2 linked regions of the Caenorhabditis elegans genome follow. The protein of the gene in region 1 purifies or fractionates together with the protein of each later gene. This does not show direct contact. Each region holds a gene or a part of one and is shown on either strand. Other genes may lie near its edges.

The links. Proteins that work in one complex are often made in the same cells at the same time.
Region 2: the proteins of cmd-1 (region 1) and tag-196 purify together in Caenorhabditis elegans (affinity purification with western blotting; one study listed by BioGRID). This does not show direct contact.

The regions. Positions count from the first base shown.
Region 1 is NC_003283.11:1,154,200-1,157,954, forward strand, and holds the start of cmd-1 (Calmodulin), read left to right. Parts: upstream 1-2,071; 5' UTR 2,072-2,108; coding exon 2,109-2,142; intron 2,143-2,423; coding exon 2,424-2,662; intron 2,663-2,759; coding exon 2,760-2,907; intron 2,908-2,964; coding exon 2,965-2,993; 3' UTR 2,994-3,755. UniProt on the Caenorhabditis elegans protein: Calmodulin mediates the control of a large number of enzymes, ion channels and other proteins by Ca(2+). Among the enzymes to be stimulated by the calmodulin-Ca(2+) complex are a number of protein kinases and phosphatases.
Region 2 is NC_003283.11:8,593,211-8,596,965, reverse strand, and holds the start of tag-196 (Cathepsin F), read right to left. Parts: upstream 2,053-3,755; 5' UTR 2,048-2,052; coding exon 1,946-2,047; intron 1,859-1,945; coding exon 1,655-1,858; intron 1,224-1,654; coding exon 1,111-1,223; intron 931-1,110; coding exon 811-930; intron 765-810; coding exon 297-764; intron 93-296; coding exon 1-92.

The DNA of each region.
Region 1 (3,755 bases):
GAGAGAGAGAGGGAGTGCGACGAATGAAATTGCACACACACACGCGCACACTCTGCTTAAACGGGCATCATTTCATGTGCCTGGGCAATAGAAACAACCGATGTTTCATTTTTCCTGAAAAATGCTTCTTCGTTGTTTTTACCGACTTTCTGAGCCGCTTCGTTAGAAAACCTCGAAACCCCCCGAGATTTCCGCCAAATATTTGTCCAGCGTTCGTATAGATATTTGAGGAGGCTCGAGAGATCCAACAAATTGAGAAACGAAGGTGTAACGAGAAAAAAAACAGAGTCTGTTTGCTAAATCATGTGATTCATTGATTTTTCAACTCGTCAAATAGGTTTTCGCAACTATTTTTCCATATTCTCGTGATTTATCATTCTGTAAAAACATTTCTTAGGTCTCTTTTGATTGTTTATTCCCTTTTCCTGGTTTCCCATTATAGGTTAAAACCTGAAAACCCTTGCGCCGGGTCGGATTATGCTTTAGTTTTCACCGCCGCTCCGTTTCGCGCGCGCGCTTATATAATCCCCTTGTACAGCAGCCCTTTTTCGTATTAATGTTCCATATCGAAAATGCGCTCCGCTGAGAATTGGTCGGCTTTTTTTGTTGTTGACGCGGTGTCTGCTGATGTTCTTTCGGACGTATGATGAGATGAAGGAAGAACTAGTTTTTGTGTTCAGACTTCTTCATTGACGAACACGTCTCCGTTCTTTTCTTGTTGCGGTGGTGGTGGTGGTCGTCGCAGATGAATAAGACGTTGGCCGTTTTCGCTACACCCCCCCCCCCCCCCCTCCCCATCCCCCAATTTCAACTTCTCGTTTTGCGTGCAAAACAAGAGGAAATTGAAGTATTGTGGGGATAATTCGATAACCAGAACACGCACACACACTGACCCCTATCTTCTCTCTTTTTTGTTGTTTCATTTCTTTTCCTTCCGCAAGACGTCTCGGCCATCAGAGTTTTCCGATTATTATGTGTAATGGAATATCCGCAGGGGATCTTTGATCTACCCACTGGAAATTTGTTTTTTTTTGGTGGATTTTTGACAGAAATCACGCGCTCTCCTCAAAGCCGAATAATTTTCTACGTTTCGCATTTCTGCATCCGCGGTGTTTTGCCTTTCCACACGTTGTGTCAGAGTGTCTCATTCCGGCTTGATCTACAAAGATCTACAAAAAATGCGGGAGAAGAGACAACAGAGTTCTCAACTGATTTTGCATTGTTAAGAACGTGCTGACATCACATTTATTGGGCAAAATTCCCGCATTTTTTGTAGATCAAACCGTAATGGGACAGCCCAGCCTGGCACCACGTGTTTCCACTGAAAGTAGATGTTTTTTTTTCAGCATTTCACGGACAAACCTATTGCTAGACAGTGAACATCGAAATTAAAATGACTAAAATGAACTTTTTTCGTCTACTGGTTGTGAAAAGGTTTGAAATTGAAAAAATCAACGAGATTTTTCTTATTTTCTAAATATTTTCCTATTAAAAATTGATTTTAATCCATTTGTGACCTTACTTTAGAGTCAAAAGTGGTTTAAAACCGATTTTCGATAGAAAAATAGATTCAGAAAATAACAAAAAAAAATATCCCGCTGATTTTTTCAACTTTTTCTCAACCAGTGGACGAAAAAAGTTGATTTTCGTCATTTTGGTTTGTTCCTAAGATTCAATAAATCTGATTTTTTCAGTGGACAGGCAAAAACATCGCGGATGCAGAAACGCAAAGCGCGTAGCAAGCGCGCTCTAATAATAATTCGGCTTTGAGGAGAGTGAAATCGCTAAATATTTCCAATTCGACAAAATCAACCTTTGATTTCGTCTCCTTCTCTCTTCATTTCGAAATATAAAATTTGTACCTATCGTTGGCTTATCAGTCAGTAAATTCTCTCTAGTTCTTCTCTATTTTCTCTCTTTTCTCTCTTTTTTCGATTATTCTCTCCGATTTTTTCTCTCTCGTCACCGTTTCACCCACCGGTATTCATCATTGTTTACGTCGTTCCGCTCGCTTTCAAACAATTTATATTGATTTTAATTAATTAATTAATTATCCTTTTTCATTTTTCAGGGTTTTCTAACAACACCCCCTGCACAGCGAAAGCAAGATGGCCGATCAACTGACCGAGGAGCAAATTGCCGGTACTTTTTTAAATTCTGATTGATGGACGGAGGACCGGGAGATTGAAGAAATCTAATCCTCTCTCATTTCGAAGCGAATTGAGCAGAAACCAAGCGGCGCGGCGTAGAAATTTAAATTTAATGGATGAAACATTAGCCGTAGCAGCAGATGTATAGCGCCACTATTTTTGTGTGTTTTATTCCAGATGTTGGCTGGTTCTCGCGGCGAAAAATCTATCAACAATTGTATAAAAAACTACAAAATTCGAGAAAAAACCAAATCAATTTTGCCAAATTTTCAGAGTTCAAGGAGGCATTCAGTTTGTTCGACAAGGACGGCGATGGCACAATCACCACCAAGGAATTGGGAACTGTTATGCGGTCTTTGGGACAAAATCCGACTGAAGCCGAGCTTCAGGACATGATCAACGAAGTGGACGCTGACGGAAACGGAACCATCGATTTCCCAGAGTTCTTGACGATGATGGCCCGCAAGATGAAGGACACGGACAGTGAGGAGGAGATTCGTGAGGCGTTCCGAGTAAGAGATTTGTGGAAATTTATAAATTCATTTTTGATTCACTATAGAGAAGCCTCATGTAGTATAGAAAATCTCATTCAAATCTTCCTATTTGCAGGTTTTCGACAAGGACGGAAATGGCTTCATCTCGGCCGCTGAACTGCGCCACGTCATGACCAACTTGGGAGAGAAGCTAACGGACGAAGAGGTCGACGAGATGATCCGTGAAGCCGATATCGACGGAGATGGACAAGTCAATTATGAGGGTGAGTCCTTACAAGACCTTTTTTTTTCGAAATTTCATCAAATTTCCCATATTTCAGAGTTCGTCACCATGATGACAACCAAGTAAATCACACCAATCGGGATCTGAAGCCGCCGTATCGTTTGCGAATCACCAACACCTTTTCTCTCACCTTTCGTTTTTTTATTCTTCCCCGCTTGAAAATTGTGATTTCGCTCTCGAGCCCCAAAAAAAAATTGCCAAGCCCAGTCAAAAAATGCTATAAATGATGTAATTTATGTTCAAATTTAAGTTTTTTTGCCTCTTTTTTGACAGACGTGCTCTCAACCTAATTTTGTTTTTTTCTTAGAATGTGAAACTCATTTATAAGTCATTTTTTTCTTATTTCCTCTTTACAATGATTGAGTTTCTTCTTCTCCTGCCCCTGCCCCCAAATTAAAAAGTCCCGGATCCTCCAGTTCTTGGTCGCCTGCCCCGGCTTGACCCTTCCTCAAAATAATGCCTCCAACCTGTAAAACCCCATAAAAAAATTTAAAAAACTTAAAAAAAACCGCTGGCTTCTTCTTTTCCCACTTGGTATTTTTCTCATATTTTCTCTTCTTCCAAATTGTTCTTCCCAAAAAATGTATTCCAAACTCGAAAATCTTTCTTTCCTCTCTCTTTCCCCCTCAACCATTTATAGAAAGTGTAGAAAATTCCCTCTTTTCGCACCACACACACACCGTCACACGGGCCATTTTAAAATTGTACCTGAAATATTTTCTGTTGCTTTGAATTTCGATTTCGACAAGCAACGGCAAAAAATTTTGGCGCCTAGTGAACACTTTTTGCACCATTGCTTTCTTTTTTTTTGTTTTGGATTTTTTCTTT
Region 2 (3,755 bases), 7.4 Mb from region 1:
CAATGTCCTTTCTCACCAAATGACATGTTTCACCTCTTCCATCATATGGATATGCATCTTCTGGCTCCAAGCCACCCATACGGATGATCTCTCTGAAAACAAAAAAGCATTTTTCAGGAACAATCAGAATTAACTTTTTAAACTAGAAGTACTTTGTGGTTTTATGATAAAAAACTAAAAAACAGTAATTATCTGATACGACAAACTTTCCAATTCTGAAAATATGAGACACATGTCGCATTAATTATTTCAGTATTCAGTTTTTCCCAAAAGAAAACGGAGAAATTGAAACATACTTGTATGCATTACTTGGCAATCCTCCATTACATCCCTGATCCATACTATCACAATCCACAAGTTCTTGTTCTGAAAGTGATACAAGCTTGTTCTTGGCAATGAACCATGCTCCTTCCACATTTCCTGTCGTTGAGAATGCCCAACAACTTCCACAGTTTCCTTGATTCTTTACTTGAGTAACTGCTCCTTTTTCTCTCCAATCAAATGATTCTGGAAGATCTTCTTCATTAATTGTGACATCATGTTTCTCGAAATTGGCTTGTTCCATTGGATATACTGGTTGTTCCCATTGATATGGAAGCATTATTTTCTTGAATTCCATTGTTGTCATGTCAGAAAACTTTGTGAATCCATAGACAGCGGTTCCTTGCTCATTTTTCTGAAGTTCTCTGATAACTTTTGCGTTTTTCTTGAAAACTCGGAATCTTTTTAGAACTTCTCTTTTGTTAGTGTACTTCTTCTCGTGTCTGGAAATAATTAGGTAAATTGAGAAAATAACGAAACAAACAATACCTATCAACAAAATCAAGAAAAGAATTCCAAATGACATAGTCTCTTGGACGGATGATCTTTGCCTTTCGGAGTTCCTGAACAGTGATGGAGTCGTCGTGAGTCAGTTGGATTTTGCGGTGACTGAAAATATTAACAAATTTCTATGTTAAAACATAAGACATAACAAGTTTCACTTACTAGTTAATCTTGTCAGTAAAAATATAAAAATAAAAAATATCCCAAAGACCACAAGTATTATGAAACATTTTTTGTTATAGTGTGATTATTTTTATCGGAAAAATTTTTATCGTCTTTACTTACTCGAACTTATCAATGTTCCTTGTAAACTCTTCCTCACAATTTCTGATGTGCACGATGTCTTTCAGACCATAACCATGTCTTTTTACACGGCGACTGATTTCAACTTGACACTTCTGCAATTAAGACATAAATCATTAAAATCAATAAAATCATAAAAATAATATTTTGTCTTGTAAGACAATTATTTTACTTTAAACTGTTTCAATTCGTATTTCATTTAATTTTGAAACTTTTTAGATTTGTTAAAAACTATAAATCTGATTGTTCTGTTTTTTACACGGGATAATCGGAAACTATACAAGACTTTTAGAATAGGTCGTTGGGGTCCACTTAGCACAAAATGTGACTAGTTTCAGAAAAGATTTGTAAACTTTATAAACGCATAATACTTTTTTCAAGTAAACATTCCACCCGGGTTAGGTGTGATGGAGCCCCATCGAGTGTCCAGTCAAAAAAATCTTGAATGTATTCAAAGAATTCTAAAATTATATTTCCTCTTCCTATTCATTTTTTGATCAACTATTTTTGGTTTTTGTTTTCTCACCTTGAGTGTATCCGTCTTCCGACACTTCTTCCCCTCAACGTCCGTCTGACCCTTCTTACAATCGGTTTTGACCAATGTGACAAAAATTGAATAATGTATTCCACCGGACAGTTTTCTTTCAACCTCCCATGTTCTATCGAGTTCCCATTTGTAGGCATCATTCGATTGCTGATTGAATTTTTCAACACCATGTCGCGCGAATTTCTACAACAAAAATAATTTGACAAGGTGATGGATGGATAGGATGACAACTGGTTTGATAAGGAATATAAAATGATTGAAATAGATTACCTCGTACAGAAGTTGGTCTTCTTCATTTATCGGCAACACTTTTGAGACAACTGTGTGGAGAGATGCAAGTAACAAAATTAGGCAAACTATAGGTTTACCCATTTTGGCTGAAAATAAGATCATGTGATAAGACAGAGAAAATCAGAAAGAAGTTTAGTAGGAAGAAGTTGACAAGATACAGTGAGATTGATACAATAATAAAAAAAAATAGTAAATGCTTCAAACCAAGATTTTGAGCCACCTGAGCAATTTTAACACGAATTTTATGTTTTTTTGATAATTAAAAAATCAAGAAGATCCAAGAGCTGGTGTTCTAAGGTGTCATTTGATAAAAGATAGATGTGGTTGGGGGTTGATGATGGGAATGAGGCCAGTTGTGGGTCATATGGTACCACCGAACAGCTGCCCAGTTGTGGTGTCTCCCAAGGGGTTGCGAGTGACCGTATGACCCGGCATTAAGAATAAAAGAGATAAATAGAGACGCAGCAGCAGTTAACAGGCACAAGAAAAAACCGGCAAAAACATGATGAGTCAAAAGGGAAAAGAGACGCAGGCCATCGGGAGGGTAGGGTTACACCTTTTCTGAAGGAGTTTTTTGGAAGACGAGAAGGGCACAAGACGACGTGCAAAAGGGCGGCGACCGGGCGGCTCAATTGAATTTCTGAGTAGGGTGGGAGACACATCAATTTGTTGTTGGCTCTAGTTGTAGTGGTTTGAAATTTCGATTCGAGCGGGGAAGGAGAAGTACGCGGACACTCTAATTCTATTAGGAAAGTGCACTAAACCGAAGTATCGAGAAAGTCGGGAAGAAAGTGAGAATGAGAATGGAAGACAATTTTCTAACTACAATATTGTAGAGTGGAATATATAGTTTTGCCAACTTTGAATCTAGGAATTTGTGCATTTATATGAACCTCACCGGTGAGAGTTTAAAAAGCATTTTAGGCATTTGACCTACAGATGGAAATTCGTTCAAGAAACTACATTCCAGCGCTCCATTTCCTAGCCCACGTTCTCACATCCTTTTTATATAAGAATGTTTTATCTATTTCAAGATAATAGAGGACATTGATGGGTTTGCAGACGATTTTTATGGGGTTTAAATATTTGTTTCCAAAATTTAGAAACTCACTTTTATTCATACGATTATATTGATCAGAAATGGTTTCATAATGTGAAAATAAGAAAATTATTCTGTATCGTACTTTTGCAACAAAAATCGCTTGTCGTGAACGTTTTGATTTTGAATTCAATTTTAGTTTGCATCCTAGTTTCTCTAAAATATCTGAAGTCCATTCAAAATTTTACAAAATATGGAATAAAATTAAAATTTTATCAGAAAAAACAGAATGAAAAAACTCTGAATAGATCACAAAGAGTTGTAGTATTTTCTGACTAATGTGAATAATTGTTACGCTTATAATTGTGAATTTCAGAAGGTCGAGAAATTTCGATAACTTTTTATTGGAAAAAATTTAAAAAAATTAATTTCAGATGAATCATACGCCAACGATCAGAAAATATGTTGAAAATATCGACATAAAGAAAAACAAGAATATAAAGAAAACAAAAAATCAATGTTTTAAATTAAACACCACACAACAAATTCCTCATGATTTGTAGCTCCGAGGCGCTATGTGTTAACTACATTTTCCAGTTTTCGGACACCAAGTATTTCATATTCTCATGTGATATGATAGAAAATGAGATTGAGGGTGATTTGTCGTGAAAATGAAGGAGAAATGGAAAAACAACAAGAAAAAGAGAGGTGAATCGAACGTAAACACTCATTTTATTTCTTTATGCTCCC